Linked DNA regions of Lepisosteus oculatus. The protein of the gene in region 1 interacts with the protein of each later gene in a pairwise test. Links are inferred from orthologs where the notes say so. Each region holds a gene or a part of one and is shown in the gene's direction. Other genes may lie near its edges.

What was found.
Region 2: the proteins of RNA-binding protein with multiple splicing (region 1) and serf2a interact in a two-hybrid assay, tested with the Homo sapiens proteins (2 studies listed by BioGRID and IntAct). The two-hybrid records come from large-scale screens. The link is inferred for Lepisosteus oculatus from reciprocal best matches to the Homo sapiens genes RBPMS and SERF2.
Region 3: the proteins of RNA-binding protein with multiple splicing (region 1) and sf1 interact in a two-hybrid assay, tested with the Homo sapiens proteins (3 studies listed by BioGRID and IntAct). The link is inferred for Lepisosteus oculatus from reciprocal best matches to the Homo sapiens genes RBPMS and SF1.
Region 4: the proteins of RNA-binding protein with multiple splicing (region 1) and ammecr1 interact in binary tests that used the Homo sapiens proteins (3 or more experiments, as listed by UniProt). The two-hybrid records come from large-scale screens. The link is inferred for Lepisosteus oculatus from reciprocal best matches to the Homo sapiens genes RBPMS and AMMECR1.

Annotation. Positions count from the first base shown.
Region 1 is NC_090696.1:69,304,840-69,312,927, reverse strand, and holds the start of RNA-binding protein with multiple splicing, read left to right. Parts: upstream 1-4,751; 5' UTR 4,752-5,216; coding exon 5,217-5,279; intron 5,280-8,088.
Region 2 is NC_090700.1:52,440,721-52,448,539, reverse strand, and holds the start of serf2a (small EDRK-rich factor 2), read left to right. Parts: upstream 1-4,531; 5' UTR 4,532-4,626; coding exon 4,627-4,633; intron 4,634-6,406; coding exon 6,407-6,515; intron 6,516-7,819. Other genes in the region: fkbp16 (FKBP prolyl isomerase 16), read left to right, coding at 359-445. UniProt on the Homo sapiens protein: Positive regulator of amyloid protein aggregation and proteotoxicity. Induces conformational changes in amyloid proteins, such as HTT, driving them into compact formations preceding the formation of aggregates.
Region 3 is NC_090713.1:21,525,192-21,533,704, forward strand, and holds the start of sf1 (splicing factor 1), read left to right. Parts: upstream 1-5,276; 5' UTR 5,277-5,320; coding exon 5,321-5,397; exon of another isoform or gene 5,398-5,554; intron 5,555-7,437; coding exon 7,438-7,871; intron 7,872-8,513. UniProt on the Homo sapiens protein: Necessary for the ATP-dependent first step of spliceosome assembly. Binds to the intron branch point sequence (BPS) 5'-UACUAAC-3' of the pre-mRNA. May act as transcription repressor.
Region 4 is NC_090703.1:35,398,185-35,406,209, forward strand, and holds the start of ammecr1 (nuclear protein AMMECR1), read left to right. Parts: upstream 1-4,923; 5' UTR 4,924-5,034; coding exon 5,035-5,474; intron 5,475-8,025.

The DNA of each region.
Region 1 (8,088 bases):
TTTATGCCCTAAAGATGCATTTGCTTAGGTTGCTTGGCAAATCAATTTTAATGGGTTAAAAAGAGCTTCTGCAACTACTACAATATGGTAGGTTAACCTACTGCCCCTGACAATAATTAAAATTTAACTGCTCAAAGTCATGAATAAAAACATCATGTTATACCAAATTGCCTTGTTTAATAAAGCAATATTACATTGCATTGTGTATTGCATTGTTAAAGGACAGGCATTTTTTATTTACAGTACATCTTACATTTATTTCGTTCTCTTTAAAGTTTCTAAAGTTGCAATTTTCTAGAAATGTCACTTTTTTATTTTAATTACAACATTATGAATACAGAGTGCACCAAAAGAGTAGAATGACCAGTGATAGAGTACTGCAAGCATCGTCATTCTAGGACTCATCTTCTCATCTTATTATTAATCTTCCTATTCTTCATCTTTTGCGCTTTCTGCATCTTCTACATTTGGTCATCTTTTGCAGAATAGGCATCAATATGGGTGCATCAATAAGGTTATGTAGCAGGTGAGTATTGGGAATGGAAAATGGTACATCCTTTATCTTATACAAATCATCATCTGGAGCAAAAGGATTTTATTCTTGTGGTAATCTAATAATGAAGAAGGGAGCATCTGGTTTAATGCTAATGAAGTTCAATTGCCATTTACTGTACTGGAAATTATCCCTCTAGATTGTTGCCAGCCTCTGTCTCTGTAGAATTTTGTAGGCTTGTAATCCAAGGGAATATAAATTACCAGCCATATACCTAAGAACAAGGATGGAGTGAAAACTATCATATTACAGATCAAATGATGGGGACTGTGCCAACATGTGGGTCCTCTTTCCCTCCCCTTAGAGATCAGGACTGTAAGAATATTCAATCACTACAAATGACACAGAACCTTTGGAAATTTCTCCACACATTTTCTAAGGTCCTGAGACATACTATGTCATGATCAGAATCCCTCCTCTTAAGGGCGCTCCGGCCCTTTCGTATTTTAGTAGATTATGTGCACCTGCCCTCTGTTTGTCCCTCCTTATTTAAGCCGGGCGCTCTCGCTACTCCTGGCTCTGCATTGGAAGACAGATGCCTGGAGAACCACTTACCATCAAGTTGTCCTACGTCCACGGCTTGAAGGCGTAGGCTTCCTAACGGTGTCCTGACCAAGCTGAGTCCGGGGCTCGGAGCACCCGGCCTCGTTATCCAGTTTTTATCTTCCTGGTTCCCTGACCCTCTCCCTGTTCTAGATCCCTTTCCGAATTTTAACTGTGTTTGTTTTGTCCTGGATGGATTCCCGTTTTGGAATTTGGACTGCGCCCCGGATTCCCCCATTTGGACTTCCCTGAACCTGTTTGCCATCGCCACGCCCCCACGAGCAATGGATCACCGTAGTCACACCCTCCTGTCTGTCATCCCGTCTTGATCCTCTTCGTCTCCTCCACCAGATGTCCTTCTCCAGTTCCAGATTATACCGTCTGCATAGGGTCCTGAACTATGCTTCACGGGAACTTTGACGGGCTCCCGTTACATACTCTACACTGATTCTGAACACACAATAATCTACACCTGGCCTACAGTACCATGTCAGAAATGCTGTTTGAATTCAGTACTGCTGTTGCTTGATCAGATAACTCTGATCAGATTACTTAAGCAAGTCCTATCTTTTCCAAATCCATAGTAGTTATCCTTTAGAATCCTAGTGCTTTACAGGTAATCCTCTATTTTATTTGTATTTATTATCATCATAATCTTACATGTCATAAACATAGGCTTTATTGGATTAGATTATGGCACATAACTGAACCAATTTGAAAGAACAAGAAGCAAATCAAGAGCATTGAAGAGAGTTCACAAAGACTTGACCCAAAAGCTCGAAGAAGCTGTATTGGCCTCATTAGTCACATTCAGAGCCAAAGACGACAACCATCCTTACTTGCAAGGGAAAGCCAATGAAAATAAAAGAAGGAATGTTTCACATGATTATCTCTGAGAAAACTGTTTTCCTGTTTTTTTTGTTTTTTCTTTTTACCAAACTGTACTTTTTAATAATTTAATCAATTCTTTCATAGTCCTCATATTTTACTTAATTGATTATTTAACCTAGAATGTTTTTTGGGTCAAACTCAGAAATGTAGTTTCTAACTAATAAATCCACTCCATGTGTTTTTGTTCAAATTTAAAGCAAAAGCTGTACCTTCATAAAGCTCGTAACTTCCTGTAAAGAAAGCAAAGGAGGTTCATATCAGGATTATTGTTATTTTTTAAAATGCCATTCAAAGTCTCAGAGAAATCTTTTTGAGAAGCCTCCTTTTGAAGTTAGAAAGAGTTAAAAGGCAAGGTAGCATTTTGCACTTACCTGCTCTAGGATTGCAGGGACAATAAACAAGTGTAAACCCATGTTGTTGTTTTATCTTGCAAATATGATTAAAACCCAGTGAGTTGTAAAAGCTGTAACTGTATCTCTTCTCTTTCCTGTTATATTTTTCATTTCTTGCTGTCCGTCTTTTTACAGATAGTGTTAGTTGAATGGACTGGCTGGAGGGGAATTCCAGTCTCATAAATTGCCAAGTTATCTGGTTTTCACTGATCTGCATAACCTTAAATATGTAGCAAGCTTATCTAGTCAAATGCCTCAACTGTCCAAACACACTTCAATAGTTATGTTCCTCGTCGGTAGTCAAACTACCTCTACAAAATGAGATGCAGTAAAAATGACCAAACTCTACATCCGTACTACTTCCAACACATAAGAGTAGGCTCTGTGTGCGTCCATTACTACTGTTGGTTGTTAAAATAACTGTAACTAGTCAAGCAAGAAATAAGTTTTCTAAATCCATGTTAAACATCCACTAGAACCCACAATTATACAGCTAATCAACTAGTTTTGTTTGGATGACTCTAACTTTACAACTTTTAAAAGCTTTATCAGATCTTCCAGTTCTTTGCTATGGAACATGGGCCAGCATTTGCCATACAGGTGTTAAAGGCATTGGAGATGATAATATGAACTGGTGACGGAGTACATTGAAACATGTAGTCAAACGTATTTCAATTATACCCTCACTCAATAAGGAGGGTAGCTGGTAGTTTTTGTGGGTCCATTGATCAACTCTCTGATCCCTGATCTTGAGTCACAATTTCCTTCTGGTCTGAGGGATTCGGTTGTCTTGTAGCAGATTTCACACACGTTCACTGTGTGTGTTCACACCAAGAATCTCCCACACATTAGTTTCATACAGTATGTGTTTACTAAGTGTGTTTAAACTAAGACCAGTCTGGCATCACTTTTAGTGTATTCTAGCTGAGCATACCACTGCATTTGTGCATTTAGAATGCCACTTGCTCTCTAGAGCACTGTGGAGTTTCTGGTGGGTCAAATGTCCGTGACAGATGGGTGTGTTGGAGGTGTATATACAGAATTACCATCCATTTCCTAACTGCTTCTTCCAATTCAGGGTCGTGGGGGAGCCAGAGCCTATTCTGGCAAGCAACAGGAGCTAAGCAGGGTTCACCCTGGATAGGACACCAGTGCTTTGCAGAATAGACAGACACACGCACATTCACATCAGGACCAATTTTCACAGAAGCCAGTTAACCTAATGGTATGTGTCTGGACTGTGGTAGGAAACCTGTGCATCCAGAGGAAAGCAATGCAAACATGGGGAAAACACACAAACTCCATAGAAATAGCAGATAGGTCTGGAATTTATCCCAGAGCCACAACAGTGCAAGGCAGATATGCTAACTACTGTGCCGCTGTACTGCCTTCAGTATATCCTGCAAATTGGATGAATATAAAACAAGAAATGTCGATTGTAGTTTTAATTATATATGAGTCCTATGGATTTAAAATATATATATATGGACCATCATTGCAAAGTGCAATCTACTTTACAAGAAAACCAAAAGATAAGCGTATACAGGACCAAAATGTAGTGTACATAGACATGCCTGGTACTGTATCTCCTTTGACAGCAATCAGCTGATGAGCTGTTTCCAAAGATAAAAAAAGCAGGTAAAAACGAAAAGGTGAAGCCTACAAAGAAAAAGAAAACTTTTGTAGAAAGTATTAAGCATAGTGATCATTGTATCAACTTTGGCCTTTCACAGTTTGAAAATCTTGGCATCATTTAAGTAAGACTGAATAAAGTTGCAAGTAGCTCCAAGACAAACTATTGACTTAAAGATCCTGAATGAAGACTGCTTGGACAGAGCTATACACGATATCTCAGCCACCCAATTATTATTCAATTAAATGTCAAGGGGGATTTGAAGGAAGTTGTTCCTGCCAGGAAGCCTATGCACTTTAAACTGCCTGCATCAAACAAAGGAGAAAAAAATCAAGAGACAATATCAACAACTGACTTCCTCCGTATTACATACAGTATTCCTTATTTTGCATAATGTATGCTGGTGAGCGAAAGCTGTTTCTGTCTTTTAAATGTAGTTTAGGCGCATAAAAATTTCTTTAAAATTAGAACTAAAACACATTTTAAGACCCGTGTTCATTGTTTAGTATCTATATGCCTACTTGAAGTGCGTATCACAACTGATCAATAATCGTTTTGTATCGGGGTATAAGAAAGATTGCGCTGATACAGCTACATGAAAAATACCCCCAAAAAACCTTCTTGCTGGTTCTCGCTCTCTTTCTTAGCATATCTTTTTCAGCCTGAAGCGCTCTTCTGTTTCGTATCCTTATTATCAAGTTGCGTTTTTAGAAACATTCCTAATGGCTTAAGTGGAACACAACATACAGTACGACCTGCCCCCTGTTTCTCTGTACCCAGCCTCCCAATGAGAGAAAGCTTACTTCTGTCGGGATCTGTCTGACGTTCTGGCCATACCAGCAACAAAAGAGAAATGATCAGGTTTTCTTCACACAGCAGTCAAAGTGGAGTATTCTGGAGACCTAGGAATTGGAGTTCATAGGCGTCTTCCCGGAGTAACAGCCTGAAGTGAAACTGGCAGGATTCCCTGGCACCCAGACTCTGAGACCCTAGTCGTTTCTTGATCTTGGTTTCCTCGTTGTTTTTGGCTTTCTGGTTTCCATTCAACGCCGAAGGTCTTTGATGTTGACTAATTGAAGAGATTAGCATTCTTCAATTTCTGGACTGTATACTGAGGGTCTAATCTGCCTCCTGGATATCAACTGTACTGACAGCTGGATCCTTAAAAAAAAGCTTACATAAACTTGAATTCGGGCTTTACAAAATGAACAGCAGCAAAACTGAAAAAGAGAACGAGTTAAATGAATATAACAGCCAAGAAGAAGAGGTAACATTTGTATTTCAATTCCTTCTATTCGCGACATATTACCATTTTTCCATATAAAATAGATCCCGGATAAATCCCGTGAGAAAACTTTTAATACATTTTGTTACTTCCAAGTGTCTTAAGGTTTGTAAGACGTATTAATAGTACATACAGTGTGCACTCGGGCTTTAAAGCTGATGCACTCGAGATCAAGTACTTCGTGTACCCTTTTCGAAACCGAGCTACTGGATGTTGACTTTGAGAAGTTTTGGTCCCGAAATTGTGAATGGAGACGCGTATGTTGCTCTCATTTAACTGGATTGGTAGTTGATCCAATACTAAAGCACCCACTAATCCATTCATCAAATCACTGTATACAATATATGATTAATTAAATCGTATAATATATTGAAAACAACCAGTGCAGCATCGTTTTAACAAAGAGTTCGCCTGTTTTCGACCAAAGAAATGTGTGTTAATCTTAACCTCACTATTAACAATCAACATTTTTTAAACCAAATGTTATTACATTTTGCAGGCGTACGCGTTTGCATATTAAATGTTTGATCGTATATGAACGCTGAACTAGATAATGTATTTCCAATAGTTTTTTATTGCCAATATCGAACCGCTATTTCTAATATTTATAATGTACTTCATTCAATACTATGTCTATTGTTCAAAAAAATCTTTCGTCGTAAAGTTAGTTTTATACTGTATAAAGGTTTTTCAGTTTTCTTTACGTACCCATGTGAATACATAAATCGCCAAGTTTATAAACATATTTAGAATTCATCAAATAAAATTCATCATCAGCACATGATGATATTAATGACTGGTGTAACTGGTTTACCAGTTTTTATTATTGGAAATTAATGCTTACTTGAAGTTGTTAACAAGTGCATTTCAGAAAAGCAGATATAGAAATTAAGTTATTTTTTTCTAAATTGGGGTTGCAGTAGTATTTGTGTGTAGGTTAAAGGGTGATTAAAGTGTGTTGCTTCTATTCAGAGACTGCTGTGACACTGCAGAGACAAGCTGTGTTTGGGTGCGCGCATAGAAAAAAGACGCGATAAAGGGTCACATTCATGAGTCATGTGCGTAGTTCATAAATCAGTTGATTCAACGACGGCTGCCTTCTTTAACACCTCCACCTTCAAAGACATATTCATTGTCAGATATCATTTAAAAAAGTATGACAATGAGTGTAAATAACATGCTTCTTCTATACTGTAACTATGGAATGATGTCCTAATGTCAGTGCACACAACAGCAATCTCATTGCCTTCAACTCCTCAGATTGGAGACTGCAGACCATCTTCTGAGGCCATAGTCTGCTAAGGTCATGGTTTCGGAGATGGAAGAGGCTGGAGACATTTTTTAGGACATGGAATCAGTTTGTTCGTATTCTGGAGTGTCCTAATAACCCATTTAGTTCTGATGCTAACATAACTTCTATCTGATTAATTTCTTTGGACTATACTGTATGTCAATGCAGACATCACAGATGTATGTTCTCATAATTGAATCTTCATACGCCAAGACCGCAGGTGGTTCATTTAGACAGATGTTGAACAACAAAGGAGGTTGTACATTCCCCTTATGGGAATGGGACAGTTGGGAATGGTTGCACTTTCTCCAGAACATAGAGTTTACAAGTGAGGTAGTGGTTTCCCATTCATTTACTGTGCTAAAAGGTTCACAATCAACCATTTGCTAATTGCTAGACAAGATTAGACATTCAGGTACCTCAGGTGCCTCATTTTAAAAGGATTCGCACATTTAGTGTACTTACAAAATCAACAACACGGAGAGCATCTTCAGTCAGTCTGAATCTGAGCCTGAAAATGCAGTGTAATCCACAGACATGTTTATACTGACGATCGTGGAGATCGAGAACAATTTCATCAACAATATTAATGACGCTGACTTTGCAAGTGAATTTTATGAAATGGTTTGATGGGGTTATTAAATAATTAAGGTATTTGCCAAGTGGCCTTCCTTAAAACCCAGAGGGGATTTGTTTGAAACCCCACAAAAACTGAACATCCATAGAAGTAAGAGTATACTAAGAAGGAACAAGCGATAACAGTTTTTATTCATCAAAGTGCCAGTCGCAAATATCACATTTATTAGTCGATTTAGAACACAGATGCACATTGTGTTAGACTTGCAATATCCCAGAAGCTGAGATATTGAATCCCAAAAATGAATAACATTTTTCATATTCTAACAATGTCAGTAGGCAGTATTTTTAGATTGTCTCTGTATTTTTTAATTTGTTCTTAGTGAATATTTGTTCTTAGTGAAAACATATATTAGTGAATATTATTAAAATTCAAAACTATAGTAACTTATCAGTAACAAAGAAATGAAGCATACACTTAAAAGTCATGAAATACATATTTTTCAGACAACTAAATTGTTACTCAGTTTTGTTTTAATAAAAATGTACCCTGAACAATAAATATACTTAATAAAGAAATACATGTGATTCCATGTTCAGGTTCAGCAATCTTAAAATGAAAATTGTGGCCACAGATTGTAGGTGTTGACATCAAACAACTGATATAAAAATCTGTAGAAATCATACATTGTTTTCTTCAAACATCTCCAATGATGTTTTCTTGTCAGGTGATGTACAGTAGAGATTCTGTCACATTCAGCTTTCAGATGTGCGATAAAGCCTATAATAAAAGATCTCAAGGCTTTTTGGGATTTTCAGATTTTTTCACATGAAGCACACGTAGAAGTTATTACAAAACAAACAACAGATTTAATTCCAATGAACACATTATTGTTTTTTTTTTAAATTGGATGATTTGACCAT
Region 2 (7,819 bases), on another chromosome or scaffold:
ATTTCCCAAATCCTGCGCCCACTATGGGACAGGGGACACTGTGCAGTGCTGTCCTTAACTGACCTAATCATTAGCTTGATTGGACCAATCTGACCCATTTGGAGATTGAAAGAACCCTAGACAAGCTCCTGGCTCTTGACGGCAAGGACTGGAGGATTAACCGAAGTCTGGAAAGTTCCCAGTGCAAGTAATAATGGGGCTGATAACCCCAGTGTGCTGGCTAAATCCCACCCCAGGCTGTACAGCCTGCCCTCCCTAAAGTTCCCCCTTAATTCAACAGGCGGATTTTGCACTTCAATCATGGATGAACTGGGTTTCTTCATGGATGTACTAAATGATCGTGTTTCTATCTTTTCAGGGAATTCCTTGGAAGTGGCTGCTTGGGGCTCTGGTAGTAGCCATCGGTTGTTTACTGACAGCAATGTTCCTGCCAGGGAGGAACTAACAGCACCTGTTTCTGAGGCACCACAGCACCAGCAGATCTGCCTAAAGAAGTGTCCAACACAGATTTGCAAGGCTTAGGAGCTCACTGTAGCAGTTAAATGAATGTTCTTCTTCACATTCTTCCAATGTGTAAAAGGACAGCACTGGAGTCTGATCATATGAAAGCAAAGTAGATGTAAGAAGTCATTTTATAGATACATTTAAAAAACTGGTAGTATGTCAGCTTATACACAAACAATAGTCATGCAGTTTTGCAAGCAGATGTAATATACAGTATGGAAGTGATGGAGAACCTCACAACATCTGACTGGCTCATGAGCAGCTCTCACACACCCACATTACAGGTTGAATTATAATAGAGGTGGCAGTGTCTGGATTAGCTGCTGACAAAAGAAAACGACAGATTGATAGAATATCACACATATGCAAAATACATCGGTCTAGGGGAATAAATAACGATGACAGAAAAACTGAGTAACCCAGCGCACAGATCCCAGATATTCTGTCAGATGAGATGTACTGTACAATGACTGGACATCTTTTTTAAACGCACATTTAAAAACGTGACAAAGAAATGTTGGGAATTTATTATCATGCCACCAAAACGTAATATCCTGCCTGCTAGTTTTTTCTTCTGTGGCACCTGGATGAACAGACTGCACTGATGAATAGCACAGAAGAAGCATGCCATTCCAGGCCAAACTGGACTTGATGATCCTGGGACTGGAAACGGCCTTTCCAAAGGACCTCTGCTGCGAAGGGAATTTAATGGAATAGTGTAGCTACTGCCTTTGGGATGGAGGGGGTGTTCCCATCCCTTTCCTCACCGTGAACTCAGTGAAGGACTTCCAGATCCCTCCTGTGTCCCAGGCCAGGACAGCTGAGGAACAAAGGCACATCCGTTCCAATTCATTCAATTAGAGTACACCGAAGACTGACAGGCTGACTAATACCCTCCAGCAATGTTCCCTCTAAACTGTGCGCAAAATCAGTGCACATAGGAAATTGAACTGCGCACAAAACATTAAATTAAAACGGAATTGTAATCATTAAACACGGTCGTCAATTGAACAAAACTCAATTGACCACATGAGACTGGCTGCGAGAGGCGCAACGTGGCTGTGTGCATTACTATCGCTACTCGATCACCGATATCAATGGTCTCGTACCTCACTGCTCATGCTTGCTCCGAACTCTCTCTCTATGACTGGGCTCGTTGAATCGCTGTCCCGGTCGTTTGGATCTCTATGCTTCTATATCAACAACAAAAATAATTTCTGGTTTACAATTTTACATGTACCCAATTTAGTGCGCAAAAGCTTAAGTCACTGGGGAAAAATTTGCACAACTTTTTGATTTTTTTGCACACACAAGCCATTACAAATTAGAGGGAACGTTGCCCTCTGGGCTCCAAATTCTGACTTTCTATTGGTCCCCATTGAGCTTCGTAGTTCGTAGTGCTCTTGCAAACTACAGAAACTGTTGTGACAAGATATGCAGCTATTTGTTTAATTATAGAGAGCATTTCCTTCATATGATATTAATACAGAGATTAATTAAAGCATTGTAGTTTTCTATTGTTTTGATACTTCATCCTGTCTGTTTTTTTGAATATATAAATTATAGCTATTTGAAGCTGCTCTTGCCTCTGATTATTTTCTTCACAACATTTTTACATTTAGAATCAAAGCACGTCGATCACTGACTATTTCTTACGGTTTCCGTTTCACGTTATTAGTCTCACGGGTGCTTTTTGATGGCACCCGACGAGAGGTACAGTACGTCTTACTTCTATCAAGTCGGTCAAAGTAATTTTTAGGATTACGTAAAATTATAACTAAAATTTCGCTATAGAGTTAAGGAACTAAGAAGTTTTATTTCGACCACTGGGTGGCACTCGTGTGCCAAGATCTTACTCTACTCCGTTTACTCTGTGAGATACTCTGTGAGCCTTATGGAGATAATATTGATGGTCTTACCCACTGTATCACTGACTACATAAACTTCTGTGTTGACAGTGCAATGCCCACCAGGAAAGTGCGCTGCTTATCCAATAATAAACCCTGGGTCACCAGTGATCTGAAGGCCGTCCTAAATAGGAAAAAGAGGGCTTTCCAGGCAGGTGACGAGGAGCTGAGGCGAGCACAGAAAGAGCTGAAGGTGAGAGTTAGGGAGAGCAAGGTGGCTTATGGGAGGAAAATGGAGGACAGGTTGAGGGAGAGCAATGTGAGAGAAGTGTGGAATGGCATGAGGAAGATCTCTGGATACAAGTTGTTTGGCGCCCAGCAGAGTGAGGGATGCCTGGACAGGGCCAATGAGCTGAATCTTTTCTTTAACAGATTCTATACAGGGTTCCATACAGTGGTCCATTCACCTCACAGGCCTTCATCTCAGACACCCTCTTCATGTCCTCAGTCACCCCATCATGTGATCCCTCCTACTCCTCCTACTCCATCTTCCCCTGCCCTCCTCGGCCTATCCATCACAGCTGACCAGGTCAGAAGGGAGTTGAGGAGACTCCATGCAGGGAAGGCAGCGGGTCCTGACGGTGTCAGCTCTAGGGTGCTAAAGATCTGCGCAGACCAACTGGGTTCAGTGCTGCAGTACATCTTCAACCTGAGCCTGAGATTAAAAAGTCCGGTGCTCTGGAAGACATCTTGCCTGGTGCCAGTACCCAAAAAGGGGCACCCTAAAGTCTTGAATGACTACAGACCAGTGGCACTGACATATGCATATTGTTATTTTATTGTTTTTACAGTGACTATGAGCATATTTTGCACATACCTATGTATTTATTTGTATTTATTTTATATTTATATTGTATTACTGTACATATTCTAATTTTTCATATTTAATCAATTTACCCTCGGGATCAATGAAGTCTTATCTATCTTACCGCACCAATTTAGCACATACTGTAGGTGGATTTGTCCATCGGACAGACTGACAGTGATGCCTAAAATTAATAATCGGTTTTTGACGTGGTTGGCGTTGTTCGCTAAAACTGAATCTGTCGCAATTAACAGAATACAAGTTCAATACAGTATCACTTATGAAGGATTGGGTTCTTTAACGCAGAGTTGTAGCAAATAAACTAAATTAAACTGACAATGGTCAATTGAACGAGTTATTAAAACGAAAAAAATCAAATTTAAATACTATGCAAGACAGCATCATCCTGAAGCTCTCTCAGGTTCACATGGGTATGTGCCCTCACTGCTGCCAGCTCAAGCCAGCCCCCCACCGTTAGGGACTCAAACCCAGGCCTCCGGCATCACTCAACATGGACCCAGCCAATTAAGCTAACGGGAAAACTCCCGTCAGTTTAGCGGCTGCGGTCCCTGCTATCCACGTCATCGCGCTAGTAAGCCAGCTCGAACAACCTGCAATGCTGGCAGTATGCGTTTCAATATTCAAACAAGGCAAAAGCCGAGTAATTCAGACGCCCCTTCCTAATTTGACTGTTTTTGTCCGTAAAAAAAGGGAGCCCAGTTGACCCTCAATAAACTCTCAGTGCATAAAATGATGAATTTCTGTTCCACATGATTAAATTCATTAATCTAACGCCAATGATCGAAGACTTCAGCCTTAAACGGTGGTTTTGGAGGGAGTCCCCACCACCTGTAAAACGCTTTGAGTGGAGTGTCCAGAAAAGCGCTATATAAGTGTAAGCAATTATTATTATTATTATTATTATTATTATTATTATTATTATTATTATTATTATTATTATTATTATTATTAAACACTATGCTTTGAAGTGAAATAAGAAAGGATAAGTACAAGCGTTACAATAAGCACATCAATCCAATCCAGCCTTCAACACGATATAAAACGTAACAAAAAACTGTATTTTAGTGTAAATTACATTTTTTTATTTATTATAGTGTAAATTACATTTTACATACTATCGTACCAGAACAACACAGCCAGTTTAAAAAACACGTCCTTTGACACTTGTCGAAAGTGGCCAATCAGGAGATCGGTGAATATTCAGGAATGCCAAAAGCTCGACCAATCAGAATTCAACATTTAGTGCCAAGGGGTGGGAGGGTGTGCTGAGTGAAATCTCGCGTTGAAGTGACGTCATTTAGAGGCTATCAGTACAGAGGAGGGAGGCAGGTAGGAGAGAGAGCAGCCCGGAGGGTTCGCTACTTGGAGCGTGGAAAAGACCATCTAAAAATGACAAGTAGGTTTCTAAACGTCTGTTCCTTCACGTCTCTGCTTGAGATACACGCTTCGCGTGTCTGTGTTTAGGAAGATGTGATCCGGTGGCGATTCAGCGGCGCTACAGTGTGACCGACAGCTCAGGGAGGCAGGCGCTAGGCCGGAATGCTGTTTTGCGCTATATATGTTTTGTTACGTTTAACTGTGTCGCTGAATTAATTAAGGCCATAAAATAACCTTTTATGTGGGGTTCAGTAATACGAGATGCGGGAAAATAGTTCAGAGGAGGGCAGGGAGGTATGTGGTGTGAACTTGTAGAAGGGGTTTGGTGTGTAACTTGTATCGTTTTCGCTTTAGATAGTTAGGCAGAAGTGTTAACAGCCAACGACTTTACTTTAAGCGGTACTGAAGGAGCTTAAAATTGTGTTTTGTATGTCCTGACATTGAAAAAGAGCACGGGTTATGGCTGGAAATCGGTTTTCTTTGTCATTACTGCATGTAGCTCATTGCCATCAAGTGGGTGGGCTGGGGATAAGTTGCTCGTTTTGTGACCCAAGGACGGTCGTTACAGCTGTTGTAGTTTTAACTCCTCCACCGAATGGGGTCGTTAAGAAAGCGCCGTGTTCGGGAGCAAAGGAAGGGTGTTTTGTTATTGTTTTCAATGCGCTGTCAGCCATGTGAGCTCTAGAGCGCCCCCTTGCCACGTCGCCGGGCTGGTGAAGCTGGTGAAGCTGTCCCGCTGTCGCCCGGCGGCCCAAGGACCGTCAGACTGCTATGTGGATGTGGACTTGTGTTGTATAAATAGACTCCACGTCCTTAAAGTGTGTGCTTTGTGAATAACCCTTTGAGGAGGATAGAAAGGGCAATGTTACTAAATCCTGTTAATGCAGCATGGGTTGCCAGGAATGTTTGTATGTCCCACAGTGAGGACGTCTTGCGCTGGAATGGTCGATTCTGTACTTTCACATGCGGGGAAGACTCATGAGTACAGCTAGTACAGAAGTATAGTAGCGTGGCGTGTTGTGAGCTTAACATAGTTTCTGCCGTTTCTCTGCAGACTTGTTCCCAGGTTTGAAAGGGTGACTCTTGTGTGTGACCCCTTTCTGGGTTCACGACCCAGCAGTTAAGTGTGTGGTAGTTCAGAAACTGGACTTTTAATTCGGTCATTCGTGTACATTATGCTGTCATTGATGGCGGGTATGAGTTGTCATGTATGGTGAAATACAGAACCATACATGAGTGGGTATACAACGTCAAATGTGGGAAAGCTAATTATTGCTACTGTATGTGCTCCCCCAGTTTGGCATGGTCAGGTTTCAGCTTCACATTTCAGCTTACAGTGTGAACCCCCAAGACTGCTCACGGGGGAGACTGGGGTAGTGGAGGCAGGCGCCGCTGAAGCTGAACTTCTCCACCACCTGGGGCGGAGCGTTGGCTCTGTGTCTAAAGATCTGCGCCTGTGGCTGGAAGGCTGCCGGTTTAAAATCCCGCGGCCGGCAGAGGAATCCTACTCTGTTGGGCCCCTGAGCAAGGCCCTTAACCCCAACTGCTCCAGGGACGCTGTATAAATGGCTGACCCTGGGCTCTGACCCCCAGCTTCTCTCCCTGTCTGTGTGTCTCTTGGAGAGCAAGCTGGGGTCTGCGAAAAGACAAATTCCTGATACAAGAAACTGTATATGGCCAATCGGATGATGTTATACCCTGTGCTGGGGAAGGTCTTTGCCTGCGGAGCCCCTCGTGGAGCCCTCGCTCACCGGCGGTTGTGTTTCTTCCTCATGCTGCCCACAACCTGCAGGGGGAAATCAGCGGGAACTTGCCCGCCAGAAGAACGCCAAGAAGCAGAATGAGCAGAGCAGGGGCAAGAGGAACGAAGACGGCCTCTCAGCCGCTGCCAGGAAGCAGAGGTATGCAGCTGTTGGCCTGCCCCACGCTCGAGGGCAGTACATGCGTCCTCTTATCCTCGGGCTTAATCTTTTCGGACTACAGTGCAGTAGGCTTTTGAGTACTGGTTCCCAGCCTGGTCCTGGAGATGCAAACCACCGTGTCTGCCCATCTTCATTCCAGCTGAGCTCTTCTTGCATCACCACTGCAACATGTCTTGCGTGGCGAGTTTTGGTTTGCGTGTTTCAGCATGCGGTCCCGAGTTTCAGAAATAACCTACTGCAAGCGTATTGCTGCCACTAGCTTTATCTGTACAGTCAAGTCATCTCTCCTCAAGTTTCATTGTTTATTACTGAACAGCTGCCACTCAGCTGATGATATATTTGTCATTTCTGTTTTGTCAACTGTAGCCCTTGTGAGCATTTTAAAAGTCCTTTATTGAGTTATATTTTGGGAATATACCCGAGTTTTATAGAATTTGTGTCATTCAGAAATTTAGTACCAAGTTGAAACCAGTTACAAATCCAGTTTGGTTCTAAAGAAGGTTAATATTCCATAAGCAGAATATTGACATCGGTTCTCCTGCAGTTTAAAAAAATAATCTGGGACAAATCACGTGACTACAGGCCCTACTGGAACAAAGTGAGGAACCACTGCTTTAAATTACCAGAACTTTGTGAATAGCTGTTAAAATGTCCAATTAAGCCAATAATGAGCTGATTTAAGAGAACAGCACAACTGGAAAGAAACCTTGATGATAAACTGTCCCTTAGGGCATAGGAAAGGAATTGCCTGTTTTCAGAGGGTTTTTGAATCATTGCCTGCTTTTAAATCTGAGAAAAGTATTAACTTGGTTCAGTGTATTGAGTCAGCAATTTCTACCTGATGCTTAATAGAAAACATCTACACTGTCATGTAGAATAGAGATCTGAGTTCAGCAGAGATGGGGCCACAATTCCCTGGACGCATTTTTCTCCCATTGGCCTTGATTACTTAATTGAACCACAAATTCATCTTTACCCATGTGACCTCCTTGAACTGTGGAAACTGTCTGATGTAGATAACTGGGTGAACAGACCTATATAAGAGAAGCTAAAAGGAATCACATTTACTTAATGAACCAAATTTAGCTGTAAAATGCATACGTTTGGAGAATGTTAGGCAACATTTTTTTTGCTTTTGGATCCAGAGCTTTGGTTTTAGATAATGGAAACTTCTGTTTTGTCAGTAAGCAAATTATGTTTTTATGCAACTATTTAACATGGGTGTCATCATTATCTAGACCTGTTCAACCTTTCATTTAAAACTTAATGCATACCTCTTTTTC
Region 3 (8,513 bases), on another chromosome or scaffold:
TGTAAACAGGCGCCGTCCTTCGGATGAGACGTCAAACCGGGGTCCTGACTCTCTGTGGTCATTAAAAACCCCAGGGTGTCTCTCGAGAAGAGTAGGGGTGTTACCCCGGTGTCCTGGCCAAATTCCCCCCCTGGCCTTTACCCATCATGGCCTCCTAATAGCCCCCCCTCTCTGAACTGGCTCCATCACTCTGCCCTCCTCCCCACTGAGAGCTGGGGTGTGGGGAGCGGACTGGCGCCTCATCCAGGTGGGGGTACACACTGCTGGGGGTGGAGGGGATCCCCCTGACCTGTACAGAGCTCTGAGTGGAGTGTCCAGAAAAGCGCTATATAAGTGTAAGCAATTATTATTATTATTATTATTATTATTATTATTATTATTATTATTATTATTTTCAAACAGTCAAATGTGTAAAGACGATGATGCAGGATAAAAACCTGCTTCAGAGCAGATCCCCCCGGAGAGCATGCCAGAAACAACGCCGACCTCTGCCCCGGGGCGTGACCCAGAGGGTAGCGCAGGCGCCATACGCTGGACCCTGGTTCTAACTCCGCGGGCCCGAGCTGGCGTCGCGAGGGAGCCCCTCCTCAGTACCTCGGCAGTGACGGTGGGCTGCGGAAAGGAAATGGCTGTCCTGAATTTTTATAACGCTTGACTTTATCTGTCACATGAACTCTGACATGGGAATCATCCTTTTTTCTGTGAGCTGATGATGTGAACTACTGTATATATTGCTGCGACAGAACATCAGAAAAGATGCCAATAAACAATCAAGTCAAACACAAAAAAATGGATCAGGATTATGATATTGGCCTCTGCTACTTCAAGTAATGAGGCTTTCTTTTCTTGTGAGGCAGACGCCTCTTTTAAGATCATGAATCCCGTTCAGGATGTGCATTGGAACTGAAATTCAGGGAGAGCCAGGAAAAGTGACCATTGTTACCCTAAAATATCTCCCCGTCTCTAGAATGGGAACCCTGGGAGGTTTCTGCAGAATATGCTTGTCTTGAGTGGGGGTCACCTATGGCTGTGACCCCCTTAGATGAACACAGTCCCCTCCTTTCTACAAACGCGAAGAAGAGAAGGGTAGCCCATCGCAGGTTTCATTTCCCGTTACAGGGTGTGTTTGCGCCACTTGACCAGCAGCCCCACTTCCTCATTTCCCCCAAGCAGAACATCATGTCCGGAGAGAGAAAAAGTGTGACGGCACTCTGTTCTTCTGACTTGTTTACTTTCAAATGTGTGAAAAAAATATTTTGGTACTATTCGCAGATTCTCTTGTGGATGTTGCTGTCAATCGGGAAGTCTGAGCAGCTTGTGCGGATAAGTTTAGCTAACAGAGACTAATCCGGTATTGAGACGTTTTGTCTTCTGTCTGTGGTGCAGTATAAAGCTGAGCAAGCAAACTGCCATGTTTGTGGTTTTAATGTTTTACAAGAACGACAGTATCCTACAGCAGAGCTGTGGGCAAGATTAACCTTGCTCCTTAGGGCGACGATCATCTTTTTATTAGCAGATTTCTAAAGTTATGTTTTGACAACATTACGGGTCATGAACAGACTGAGGTTGGCGAAGAAATCGTTCCAAAGTGAAACAGTGGGTAGATAGTGCGTATATCCTCTTGTACTGTCTGACCACACACCCAGGCCTAACCAGAATGATGTATCTCACCAGCTACACTGATTTCTTGTATGTCGTATAACTAATATTTGCTTTTTTGGCCTGGAGGATCATTGGCCTGGCGATAATTAAGTCGTCACAGAGGAGACAAAGCATTTGGTTAAAAATTCTGACTGCCAAGATTAATTTGTATTTAAGGGGAGGGCAGTAATGCTTTTTTAGGGGAGATCAGACTCTGGTGGATCTTGCAGTGCATTCACCCTCCTTTGGGTGGCGCTGTGGAGCCAAGCAGTGCCCAGACCAAGGAAGGGCAGTGCGGGGTTGCATTCTAACTCAGCTCATAACGAACTGGATAGTTCATTACTGGCTTAAAGGGGAACTGTGAGGCTATTTTTATATTTTTAGATTAGAAAGAATCTTTTTTTTCCCCTCCCCATTTATTCTTCTCTCTGGACCTGTGTTCTCGGACCCTCGTCAGGTTCAAGAGGAGAGGAGTTTATTGGCATGAGTACATGCAGCCGGCCAGGAGCCATGTCACTCTGCAACTCACAACTGGCAGCCCCACTGGAGCCCAGCAGTGGGAGCCTGGCCAGTACCTGGAGGGGAGACTCCTGGGAGAGCTGAGGCTGCTGCTGGAAGAGGTGTTAGTGGGGCCAGCAGGGGGCGCTCACCCTGTGGCTCATGTGGGTCCTAATGCCCCAGTGTAGTGACGGGGACACTAGACTGTAAACAGGCGCCGTCCTTCAGATGAGATGTAAAACCGAGGTCCTGACTCTCTGTGGTCATTAAAAACCCCAGGGTGTTTCTCGAGAAGAGTAGGGGTGTTACCCCGGTGTCCTGGCCAAATTTCCCCCCTGGTCTTTACCCATCATGGCCTCCTAATAACCCCCCTCTCTGAACTGGCTCCATCACTCTGCTCTCCTCCCCACTGAGAGCTGGGGTGTGGGGAGCGGACTGGCGCCTCATCCAGGTGGGGGTACACACTGCTGGGGGTGGAGGGGATCCCCATTGTGTCTCATTGTCGTGTTCTGTTCTGGGGGAATACACAGTACAGCACACAACACCCCCCTACATTACACAGTGTATTACAGACATAATAAAATAATAATAACAACAACAATAAATAAGTTGTGGACAACAAATATGTAGTAGTGAGAAAACAAACAACAACAACAACATTGGGTATTGAGTCTGAGGCCTTGTTGTTAGCAGTAGCCGTTGAGGACGCGGACTGGGGCCTGAGCACGGTCTTTCACCTTGACATTACATGTCCGTTCACAGCCCGTAAAAAAACCACACGGCTCATCACTGAAAGAACCGGTCGCGGAATGTCACTTCAGGCTACACGGGGAGGAAACGGTGAAATTACAAGTTGATGTGCTCAGAAGGTGTCTCTCTCCGGGTTTTCTAAACCGTTTGGGGGGGTATTTTAACCCCCAAAGTAAAAAATCTTTTCGCTGGACAGCGACGTTACGTCGAGTTCACTGTCATGGTAACGCGCGTTACCGCTCAATCCCGCTACAGGGCCGTGTTTGAAGTACAACGCAGTATTGGCAGTATTAAAATTTAAAAAGGCGTACTCAACGGCTTTGATTGATCGCTTGATTCCCGGTCCAGATGGCAGGAGATTAAAGATAAAAAAAAGGCCACTGTCCCAGTCCTTAATCTTATCCCTATTTATACCCCTGTTGCGTTTCTGTGTGCGATTGACTTTTAATGCAAATTGTAACACGGGTCGCGTCACACTGCGTAGACGTTACCTCTCGAATCTCTTTTTTTAAAAAATAAGTTTTTTATTTAACCCGAAATACAAAAGAAAAAAAAGGAGACGGAATATTGAAATAGATACAGAAATAGACACTTCGCAGGCCAGAGGAATTCACAATTGTAAACACTAAACATTATAGCTCTACAGGAAGGCCAAGGAAAAGAGACGTCGCCGGAGACCGTGTTGGTGGTCCAGCCGCAATGTGGTAAAATTTAAATTTAAATTTAAATTGTCAATGCAACTCTTTATTGCCATGCCAACAGCTTTGATCTGCCCCCCCGTGGATAGAAGCAAGGCAAACAACAGAAAACACATATTACACTTATTCATACTTCTATCTGCAGCAATCAGGATATACCTATCGAGGAACCTAACGGGCTCTAGGAGAGATCGGTGCTCAAGACCGTAGGAAAGTGGTTGAAATCTCAGGTCAGACACTGCTGCTGTGCATTTAAGGGCGGTCGTACTGTGCGAACTGACTCTGGATCGTCACTGGAAATGAGAACTTGTTCACCGTACTTATCTGGACCAATACGAGTAAACCCGGGGGGCTTTCGGCCCCTGTTTGAGGTCATTTGATTTAAGATAGCTGACCGATCACTCCAGTCGTTTCTGGTAAGAAGCCAGGGTGTCGATTTCACCACCTTGGCTGAGCGGTTTGTTCCACACTCCTACCACCCTTTGTGTCCCCGCCCGTCCTGATCCCAGGATCTTATCAAGTCGTCTCTTGAGAAATCTCCAGGGTGTCGGCTTCAGCAACGTGACTGGGCAGCTTGCTCCTCACTCCCACCACCCTTGGTGTAAAGAAGTCCTTCCTGTTCTGTTTTAAATGGACTCCCACAATGCTTTCAATTGTGTGACAAGGGATTCTCTGTGATTTGCTTTTAGGGATATCCTTTTATTAATTTTTTTATTGCAACCACAAAAAATTGAATACACAGCCGTACATACAACATAATCACTGCTGTACACACCTGAAGAAGGCTCCACGGCCGAAACGTGTTCTTTTTCTTCTCTTTTCAGCCTGGAATAAACCTATTACTTGTTCCTTTGCGGCCTATGCCTGCTGACGCAGCTCCCCATCTTAACTACTAACATAATCAAAGGTACATGATAAGTTTCAATTTAGAAAAAAATACTAAACTAGTTAACGTCAATTCTTTCATGTACGTACGTGTAGAACTGGTCTGGAGATATACTCTGATGTCTGTTTTAAATTGTTCAAATATGGATCTCTTCCCAGACCATTTCATTTGATGTATTTTTTTGTAAACATTACATTTGTACAGTTTTTATTTAAACATCAGAAATAAAATGTATATAATAACAAGCAAGTAAAATGATTATGTCAATAACAAATAATATTTTTGTTTTTCTTTACAATGGGATTCAAATATATATACTGTATATGGGAAATCCCTTGTGATTTAACTCGATCTCACTTGCACAGTGCTTACTGCCCGTTAATCTATACATGAAATGAAATGGTCTGAGAAGAGACCCACCTTTGAACATTTCAAAAGAGACATACCTTTCCTAAGAGGGCATACCTTCAGATATAATTTCTAAATGTAAGGACATGAAACCGTATGTGCGTATTTTATCTTTATTGACTTTGTTTCATCTTGTTTCGTAAAGAGCAATCGTGGTATGCCCCCCCTGATTCTGGTATATGTATGCTTGTGTATACTGTATGCATTTTGTTTCTTGTTTTTGTTATTGTGGCGACGCTTTTAAAAAAAAGAAAGAACTTCCACCGCACAGTCCGCCATTTTGAAGAGCTCGAAGACCGCTTTCCCGCCCCCCGCTTTCCCCACTTCCGGCGCACGACGCGGCGTCAAGCGACGCACGGGCTACGTGCGGCGTACGTGCGCGGAAGCGACGCCATTTGCTGCTGCTGCTGCCGCCGCCGCTACTGCTGCGCCGTGGCGGATGTTGGCTTTGCTTATAACAGACCGAGCTGAGCGGGAGAGGCCATTTTTTGTGTGTGTGTGTGCGCAAAACTTAAGGTAGCTTTCTTTTTTTAAACAAAAATTCAGTCATTGAGGCCTCGTCTTAAAAAAAACAGGCATAAAACGGAAAGTCGGGATTTGGTTGCGATAGAGCCCCCCGCGATCGCCGGAGTCGTCTTGGAGCCGCGCCGGGAAAGAAAACGGTTTTGTTTTTGTAAGTGAGCGGAGGAGGAGGAGGAGGAGGGAGGGTGAGACGGGCTGAACCGCCGGTTTATTGTTTTCTGCGCTTAAAACGTTAGCATACTGTGTGTCCTCGGCCGCTTTTTGGGGGTTTTTAAAAGCGCTTCCCCCGGCAGGTAGGAGATGGCGGGCGCACCGCGTTAAGGTCGTCCGAGTTCCCTGGCGGGAGGGAGCCAGTCTCTCCCTGGGCATTGCACGCAGACAATATTCCACGATTATTATATTTTTTATGGCGGACGTGCGTTATCGTACTTAGGTGTTCAGTTGTGTGTGAGTGAATCGGGGGGCGGTAGGCTTGTTTCTCGCTGCCTGGGGGACCTGCCCCTCGCCATGAGGCCCGTGTGCCTCTGCTGCTGCTGCTGCATTGTTCTGGACCCGGAGCTTCACCGTCCACCCCGGTGCACCGGAGTCCAGCCGGCTTAGAGGGGGCTACGGCCGCTGTACCTGGGTCTGGGCGCGCTTGGTTAATGGGTCACTCATCGTCGCTCCTGATGGGCGATTTAAAGCAGAAATAATACTTGCACGGAATCCAAAAAGGGTATTTTCTTGTTCTGGGAAGATGCGCGGCACACGCAACTTTTCGCCGGCGCGCTGCTACTTTTCCTGCTGTTGGAAGTCTGTTCCCGGTAGATTTGCGCCCACAGAAATAGGTCAGGCCGGCTGTGTTGCACAAAGCTTGCACGATGTTGGGTGGGGGGTAGTTTTTTTTGGGGGGCGGGGGGGGGGGGGCTTATATCCGTTGGATCGCTCAGTATCGTGACAAAGGAGCCGGGCGAAATGGCCGGTCTCACCCATGCGCTTTTTTTTTTAAGCAGCCCGGCTGTCGGCTCCGAATAGTGTGGCTGGGTAGGCCTGTTCCACCCCCCCACCGCCCTTTGTGTAACGTGCTTGGGGGAGCAGGGACCTGAGCGTCCGGGCTCGTAACTGGAAGGGTGTGGGTTCAAATACCAGGCGAGACCCTGCTGTCGTACCCTTGAGCAAGGTGCCACACTCGGGGAAAACTCTCCAGGAAAAACCCCAGCTCCCATACATGGGAACACGTGTGTGGTGATTTGGATAAAAGCATCGGCCTGGGTTTTTTTTTTTTAAAGTCATTTGTCTCCCCTGGATTGTGTTTTGCTGGTGGTTTTAACGTTTGAATGTGTTCAGTTCACGTCTTTGTGTTTCTGTGTGTATGCGCGAGTTGTTGTGTTTTGATAGCAATGCGTATGACTTGTGTCCAGATAGTCCTCACCCTCCTGCGCTGTGGTGTGTATAGTGTTGGTGGACCAGTAGGAGCCGTTTTCCCTGCTGAACCAGAATTTCCCAGTAATTACCCCCTCCCGTATGGCGAGGGGACAGTGTGCCGTAGTAGGTGCCACTCTTCAGGCGAGACGTGAAGGTTTGGACCACTGGGGTATTAAAAATCTCAGGACTGTTGGTAACAGTAGGGTGTTTATTCCAGTGTCCTGGCTGAACTCCGCTCTGGGCCTGTGCAGTTCAGTCCCGATACATTCAACAGGCGAAGCAGTTTCTCTCCCCTCCCCATGATCTGCTGTGTCTCCCAGGTGGGGGCTGCCAGTGCAGAATGATCACTGTGTGTCTCCCAGGTGGGGGCTGCTGGTGCAGAATGACCACTATGCGTCTCCCAGCTAGGGGGCTGCTGGTGCAGAAGGATCACTGCGCGCCTCCCAGCTGGGGGCTACTGGTGAAGAATGAGCACTGGGCGTCTGTATGTAAAGCAGTTAGGGTTGAAAGGCGCTCTTCAGAGGCCAGGAGTCCCCTGCAGTTTATGCTGTCTGCTGTTTTGCAGCGGGGCTTCAGATCCCTGCGTTGGTCCCTAACCTCTCCCCCACCCCCCTGCTTCCCTTCCCGCAGAGCGCCAGAGGAAAGACTCACCATGGTGAAGATCTTCGTGGGCAACCTGTCGCCCGACACCACGGCCGAGGAGCTGCGCGCCCTCTTCTCCCAGTACGGCAAGATCTCGGAGTGCGACATCGTGAAGAACTACGGCTTCGTGCACATGGAGACCAAGGCGGAGGCCGACGAGGCCATCCGCAACCTGCACCACTACGAGCTCAACGGGCAGCCCATGAACGTGGAGATCAGCCGGGGCAAGGCCAAGGCCTCCACCAAGCTGCACGTGGGCAACATCAGCAGCAGCTGCACCAACCAGGAGCTGCGGGCCAAGTTCGAGGAGTACGGCCCCGTGGTGGAGTGCGACATCGTCAAGGACTACGCCTTCGTGCACATGGAGCGGGCCGAGGACGCCATGGAGGCCATCAACGGGCTGGACAACACGGCCTTCCAAGGTGACGAGCCGCGGGCGGATTGGGGGCCAGCTGCCCCGTAGTGCTGGGTTGTAGTCGGGGTCTCCTGGCCTTCCTATGTTTGTGGTCTGAGGGTGGGTAGGGGTGGGGTGTACCATCCCACAGACGGGTTGGGGGGGGGGGGGGGTGGAGGTGTGGAGCGTACCATCCCAGTGACGGATATGATTGGGGGGGGGGTGAAGGTCTGGTGTGTACCATCCCAGGGACTGGTGAGGGAGTGGGTGTAGGAGTGGGCCGTACCTTCCCGGGGGGGGGGGGGGGGGAGTGGGGCCTACCATCCTGGGGACAGGGGGGGAGGAGTGGGGCGTACCTTCCCAGGGACGGGGGGGGGGGGGGGAGTGGGGCCTACCATCCTGGGGACGGGGGGGGGGGGGGTGGGGCGTACCTTCCCAGGGACGGGGGGTGGAGGTGTGGCTGCAGCAAAACCTCCCCAGGTTTTCTCCCGTCGCGCTCCCAGCCCTCGGCGGTTTCTGTCCGCCCCCGGGATCGGACGGGGCCGGGAGGGAGCGGTCGAGGAGATCGGGATGCTTACTCGCACCGTACGGCCCGCGAGACACACGCCACTGCACCACCTGTGGGCCGCGCGTTCCGAAATTCCGGAAGAACAAATAGCGTCCAGGGCGA
Region 4 (8,025 bases), on another chromosome or scaffold:
GCAGTCATCAGGACCTGCTTCTATGCTGGGGCACAGAAGGGGTTGACCCCATGTCCTTGGGGTTCTCTTCCAACCCCTCTTTGTCTTTGGGGTGTTAAGAACCCATGTTTTTCTCCTCAAGCTCATCACTTCTGGTCGCAGCAGATTTCCTCCTGTACACCACGCCAGGTGAACATCCCCTCTAATAGGGTCTCACCACAGGAGACACTTTGTTATGGAACAGGGCTACACAGCTAAATTTAGCTGAAAGAAAGCTAACTTAGTGCATAACTATAATAGAGTATAGCTTGTTCTCTAATTGGTCTAAATGTACTATCAACCCCCTAATTTCCACATACACAAATGGTTGTTCCATCCACTCTAAGAAAGCCCCCTTTGTTGTGAACCAGAGACAGTCACCAACTCAACAGACCACAGGTAAAGGGACACGTGTCCCAGTAAGTTCTGCACTGATTTGGTCTTAGTAGGGAACAACCAAGACTATTGCAGCAACTTTATCTGGGCTCACACTCTTTCTGGTCCCATTATGTGCCCCAGGCAGGAACCACCCTTCACATTGGAAGGGGTTACACCTCTCTAGGAATAGTTTCAATCCAGCCACCAATATATGGTGAAACACCAGTTGTAGGTTCACATATGAAGCAGATGACCGACTTGGGTAAGTAGTCTCTCAAAGGTGGCCAAGGCATTAAGCAAATTGCCAAAATAGGTTAATCTGAAACACCTGAAACAGATACAGGCCAATCTCTTTCTCCCCTGCTGTGAGTAAATGGCTGAGGATGCATCCTTGTCAACCATAATGCAAGCTGAATATTACACCCTAGACTGGAATGTCCAGAGTTCCCTGCCCAATGTAGGTTGTAGCAACCGTCCTGTCCACATCCTTATTCTTTCCCATGTCTGCCCAGGGCTTACGATTGTTCCCCTCTACTGCTGGTGCAATCCTTGGGTGGATCTGGAAAACAGAGGAAATTATGTAAAAAAAAAAATTCCCCTGATTACACAGGATGTGAACACTTTTTTCCCTTACAGGTCCATCCTACAAATGAGACTTGCACAGCCTCATGTTAAAGGGGTTGTTGGGCTGAAAAGAACTACCTGGAAGTGGCAAAATTCTTCACACAGAATTTGTTGTCTTGACTGTCCCTGTACTTTATCATAGAGGCCTCTGTGTAAATAAATAGCCTTGATCTGAAAAGCCTGCTCCAGGCCTTGACCCTAGTTTGTACAGTCTGAGAAGAGGATATGGGGGCAAATTTTAACAGGTGATTAGAGTAACTTTGCCTTGACAGATACCACAAAATCAGCAACAAAAGATCCTGGGGTTTTCCCTCCCCAGTCCTGTTGACGACAAAGCATTAGGGGCCTACATTCCTGAATCAGTGCTAGTGGGAGTACAGAGATTCTGATCCTTAAATGTTAATCAAATGTTTCCCCTCTTGATTTAGAAGAACTTTCTGGCCCATGTAGTCCTGCCCAAAGCTGAGAGACAATCTGCATGCCTTAGTCTTCACCACCAGTTTAAACTGCACCCAGAAAGACTCCCAAGGTGCAGATCTGTCAAAATAATCAACACAGTTCTCTGTGGATGGCCTGATTCCATCAGATGCAGGGATTTGGCTCAGGAATTTGGCTTGTTGGCACTGGAGACTCATTCAGCTCATTGAGGTTAGAGATCTTAACGCTGGTGACATGAAGCAGCTAGATGGCTTTGTCCACCACAGGGTAACTTACACTCAGATCATCCCGGGCTCTTACTAGCCAGCATTTACACTTGTTGCTGCTGCTGATGCCACTGTCACTTTAGGTGGCTGGCATAAGCAAGGATGCCTGGCAAGCTTGGATTTCCTTATGGGGGCGCTGGCACCCACTGTTACCCCGCAGGTGCTCCAGGTGGCCAGGCCGTAGTCTGGAGGTCCTTTTGCTGTTTCTGTTCTACACACTGGGAGCTGGCAGACTAGGACCTCAGGCAATACTACCACCACAGTTGTCTTCCTTCCTGACACCAATTACTGCTTTTACAATAGTCACATAGGTTTGTCATTACTTGGTGATGCAATTACTGCTTTTGCCCTTGTTTCTTGGAAGGTTTCCTTACTATGTTTGCATTTGTTGCTAGCAAGACACCCCTACCACCAACACCACCTTGCAAGAGTACAGTATGTCCTGCTAGGCAGGGCCCACTCCCATCCACACCAAATAAACACTGCTCTCAAATGACTCTAGATCACTAGAACACTTGTACACAAAGAACAATCACAAAGAATTTAGCCACTAATAATCAACACTGATTACACAGGATCCAATTATCTATAATGCTCCTACAACTTGTCATTTATGTCAGACTGCCTTAGTCCCCCAGTTCTGCAGAGAGTTGTGGCTGCTACAATGCATTTCTATCAGTTATTCATCTTTAAACACCACAGGTGTTGATTTCAGGTAATTCAGATATACCTCAATGCCCAGGTCATTTAAATACCTTTAAGTCGTTTTAAGAGAATCATGTTTTTTTTTAAGTTTTGGTTTTAAACTCAATCTGTCATCAACGTCTCAGTTTTTTAATGATATTTAACTAATTGCAGTCATTTCTTTTGGGAGCTCAAATAAGCTAAATAATGAGTTACAAAGTTCCTCTGAAAGTCTGGTTTCAAGAATTGTTTTCTAATAATTGCCATTAGGTGAAAAAATCATTTGTTGAAATCCGGAACTGAACCTTTTAAGAGGTGTTGGGGTGTTAAGAGAATGAATTCCCAGGAGTTACTAACATTCCATGCACTCTCACTTGGCGTACCTTTCTCAAAACAATAGTAATGGAAGTTACACACAATTGGTTACACTTCATATGTTAATGTTAGTAGTCTTTCATCCCAAAACACTTTCATTTAGGAGGGGGACTCACTTCTTCGTCCACTAAAGCACAGCAACCACATCTGTGATGCGCCACAAAAGCCCAATACACACCAAGTCAGGTAGAGTCAAGCATTACTGCACATACTGAATTGGATTTTATAGGTAGCCCAGACTGCAAGCTTAGATTTCAATTTTAACGGGGAGACAAGGGTTAACAACACCCCTACTCTTACGAAGTCTAATGGGGTTTGTAATGACCAAGTTGTTGGGAACTTGTTGCAGAAATTACAGATGCCTTTGATAGGATATAGCAAATTAATTGGTAGAAATTGCAATTGGAGAATAGTCAAGAGGAGTAGACCGAGGACATCACTTTGAGTAACATTGTAATCAAATAAATGACATGCCTTGTTTATGGACTCGGGATCAGCTTATAACGAAATGTAGTGATTTCAGAAATGCTGCAAATGCAGTACTTGAAAATCTTTTTTTGGTGGGGAGGAGGGTGAGTGTTTGTTGTAGAAGAGTTCGCTTTGAAAATTTTAATTATACAGCATTTTTCCGGCGGAGTGCCCTTAAGGCATTCTCCAATTTTCATTGATTTGTTTGTATAGGCGTGAAAAACTAGACATCCCGAGGAGCCGTGCGATGCACTGTAGCTTTAAAGCCGTGCTTTGTAATCTCAGAGGATGACATACCACATTAAAACGGCCTCCGTTACTCTTTTGTGGGTTATTTAGGCTTGGGGAATTGCTTTGGCTCTACCTACAGACTCATCTCAATACAGAAAACAGAATTCATTAAACCAGGGGCAGCCGAATATCTCTACGTTGATTGCTCATAATTCGTTGTTTCTCTTTCTTTTAGGATTTGGACTGGAACAGAATCATCAGAGGGTGCTACCGATCTTAATAAAAGGATATAAAAATGGTCTTCTCTACGCAGCCAGCGCTGTCAATTTAAGCGTACTGTATACTACTGCATGGAGTTTTTTTCTCTTGTTCTTTGTACGCAGATAGCGCGCAGGGTTCAGAGATTTGATGACCCGAGAGAATTTACGTACTATGCGTAGGAATTAATCGCAAAATACGTCCTGAATAGTATTTTTTTTGTGTATGTGGAACCAGTAAGAAAAAGGTGCGAGAGGTTTCGGATGGTCGGACGACACATTTCTACTGCAGTTGAAACGGGCAGCATCCAGACCTGCCAGCCGGATGAGGAGATAGAGTGGAAAGAGCTGGACTTCTGCCTTGCGGACTAGGATGTCGTGCAAAAATGACTCAGAATAAACTGATGACATCCTTCCCACAGGGCTACAGTAAACTTCCAAGTCTGCTTTGTACGCTGTGGTATTTTAATAAAAAACGCTAACCACGTCCAGAGCACTGAAAAAAGCAGGTGGAATCCAGCTGCAGCTACATTTTTTTAAAAACAATGACAAGCACGTTGCAGATGCTGTGAAAATAAACTGCATATTTTAGACCGCTTGGACTTCGCATCAAGTGGGTCTTGGACCTGAACTCGTGAAAATATAAAGAAGTTCGGATGCAAGTGAACAACGGGTGTGTGGTAGCTATCTCATCCGGAGCCTTACTTGTTATTCATGCTGAAACGTGTGGGTCCTGCGCGCTCAGTCGCCCCACTCCCACACAAAAACAGGATCGCTGCCTCTGTGCTGACAGTGCAGTATTCCTCTCTACCAAACCACCTAGCTGCTGTCCTTTTAAGCAGATATCGTAGCGAGTGCCAAATGGTCTGCGTCTACCTGGTTCGTGGAAGCAGAGCAGCTTGTTCTTAACGCGGTCGTTCATCTTTTTTTTATTGTCCAAAACACTGGGGCCTGCACATTGTCGAATTATCTGGGTCCGGTGGAAGGAGTGGATTTGCAACAGTCCGGTGGGCAGAAGACTCTCTTAAGAAAACAGCGTAAGGATTCTCCGTAAGGTACGTCACTTTAAAAAAAGAGAAAAAGGATCGGGTGACATTGCAGTCTTCCCCCTCCTCTTTTTTCCTTGCGTCCCCCTCCCTCCCCCTTGTTTGGGAGTTGAAAATTTAACGTAGTCTACGCTGGGTATTAAATTTGGAAAAAGAGAGAAGGTGGAGCATTGTCCGTCTTACGTGTTAACGCAGTGGGATTTCTACGTCTGGTCGGCGTTTCCCCCCGCCCCTCCCGCGGTGACGGCGATGGGTCGGAAGCGGTGTGTCGGAGCAGATTGTTCCAAGATGGCGGCCGGGTGCTGCGGGGTGAAGAAGCAGAAGCTGTCGGGGTCCCCCGGGTCGGGGGGTCCCGGCGGGGCGGGGAGCGGGGGAGCTGGGACTGGACATTGCGGCTCGGACTTGGGAATCGGCTCTTCCTCGGCGGTGGCGGCCGGGAGTGTGAATCGTGTGAACGGCCTGGGGGGTCCCGGGGGTAGCAGTGGCAGTAACAGCAGCGCGCTGTCCCCAACTCCGGGAGGCTATAACACCACCGGCCTCTCCCCGAACCTCAGCCCCGGACCCGGCTCTGGCAGCAGCAGGAAGATGGTTGTTTCGGCGGAGATGTGTTGCTTCTGCTTCGACGTGCTTTATTGTCATCTATACGGATACCAGCCTCCCCGGACACCCAGGTTTACAAACGACCCTTAGTGAGTACCCCAGCTGCGAGCATGCATTTGTTATTTCCTGATGTGTTCGTCCTTTCGCTTTGATTAACCTCATTTCTACACACACAACACGAAACTGTGTTATCTTAAAGTGACTGGAGTATCGTGGTTAGTGTGGTAGTAGTATGCTTCCTCGCACGCGTGCCTGTCCAGCAGTTGGAGATCTCATTCTCGGAGTAATTTCCAAAAGTTTTTGTGTTCAGCTCTTGGTCAGTGTGAGGTAAAGGACAAGGCAGTGATTCACAGACACGTTATGTTACTGGGGCTATTCTCCGTCTGCTGTTCAAAACAGAGTAGCTCACTCATTTATTTTTAAAGTGCCGACCGGTTTTGAACATGGAAGAGAGACATCAATAAACTTGCGTCGAGAGAGCTGGTGTGCAAAGCGAGGTTCTCCAGGTGTCACTCGGGCGCTCCTGATTTTTAATTTCGACCCAGAATTAAGAAGCTTGATTTTTTTGGAATTGGTTTTAATTGTTTCGATGGCTAGTATTGCTTGTGCTTGAACTTCATCGCTGAAGTAGTAACTTACCGCAGGTTGTGTAGTCCAACCTCGAGGTGTGCGAAAATACCTTTCTTTTAAAAATGTATGAAATGTAAATTTCAAGTTAAGGTACAACTCGGTGTCTGCTGCAGAGCCTGGGGTGTTTTAGTACATTGATGGTCTTTCATCGTCTGTGAACAAATGGTTGTGTAACCTTACCGAATTGCAAATGACATTTTAATGTACTTTACGTATAAATATGCAACTAGGTTTTGTTGAAAAGGAGTAAAAAAAGGAGTCAGTAGCATATTCAGTTTAGGCAAGGATCTTCCTTGTTTGTTGTAAATGAATCTTTGCAAAAATGTAGCCTGTGTAAACCAAGAAGGGAGTATTGGAATAGTATTGAGTCTCTTGCGGATCTTCCTGTGTCAATCCTGTGTTTTTAATAATGAATGACGAAGTGACACCCCTCGTCCCCCAACACAGGCAAACAGGCGTATATCCCCGGTTGATCGTACATCTTTAAGTGTAACAGTCCTGCTTGTTGAAGTATACCGTGCTCTGCTTTGTGTGTGAACATAAATATGGCTGATATAGGCCTATGAGGATATACTACTATCACTTTCTTTAGGTCGGAGGGTAATTAAGGTCTTCGGTTTTTGTCTTTAGCTTCGTGGGAGAGTGTGTTCGTTTTAGTTTTTAAGAGTTCCACGGTATACTATTAGATGGGGGGAAAAACGTATTTTAAAATAATTTAAAGTTAAGACAGCTGCTTAAACACTTTCTTTGTTCGGAACGGTATTGTATACGTCTACATACAGGACACTCCATACAGTCCTAGCTTCATAATTGAAGGAAGTCCGCTGCTGGTTCTTTGTCTAATTTTTCGACGGTTTTTTTTTTCGTTAACACTGTTTTATTTACCAGCCAAACCTTTCCTGTTCGTAAATTTCTTCCACTGTTCTTGTAATGAAAACCTAGAAAATAACAAAGCGTACTTTGAAGGAAGATCTTTTCAGAAATCATTTAGGGTTATGCAGTCTTTGTTTGACCTTGTTGTGCTACTGCTGTTGTTATTGAATTACATTTCCTTTACTTTGCACATAAAATAATTACCTCTGAACCTCTTATACAGAACTAAGGTGTGTTTATTATCTTTGACTGGCTTAGTATGTATCTTTTTTTTTTGCAATTCCCACAAAAGCAAGCTCTGATGTGCATGTTTTTTAATGTACTGGTCATATATACTGTGTACATACAGTGTTAGACATACATATTGTATATGAAGCTTTGGACAGTTAAAATACCCAAATTACAATTTGTATTTCTTGAGTGGGTGGCTTGCAGAATTTCTGGATTCTATATCCCTGAGACAAATGGAAAACCTTCAAGAGATACTTGTTACAGAAGCAGTCTTGTGCTCTGTATGAGTCCTTTATTTATGTGTTCAAAGCCTCATGCAAAGGTTAATTAAATGGCTGCATCAAATCTCAGGGGAGATTATGATGTCCAGTAGTAGAGTATTAAAATGATTTGCTTGATTACATTGTGGTTAAATCTTTAGTGTTGCACTGTAAACTTGGTCTTTAAATCTTTATCCTAGAAAAATGTTAAACACACAACATTAATAAACTGCTCATGAAAATGTGAAAATGGAGAGCAGAAAGACAGGGCAGGATTAATAAAATAATTGTTTTGGCCTGATATTTTTTCTCTACTACAGTATTGATTTTTTTCACTAGAAGGTTTTTTATTTTATCGAAATTCCCACTTTAATTTAATAGGCCTAAATATCTTTTCATTGAGGGGTAATTTTAGTACATGCTGAAAGGCTTTCATTTAACATTAGTTAAAAGTACACAAACAAATGTAGTCTGAATGAAAGCAGGAAGGAGTAGGTTTGAACTTGCAATTCGTTTTTAACATTAGCACTTGGGTGGAGTGCCCCCAAAGAGAAGAAAGTATTGTTGAGTCCCACCTCTCTCATTGGGTTACCCAGTATTGCTGACAACTGCCATGGTGACTAAATCCAGACCTTCACCTGCATTG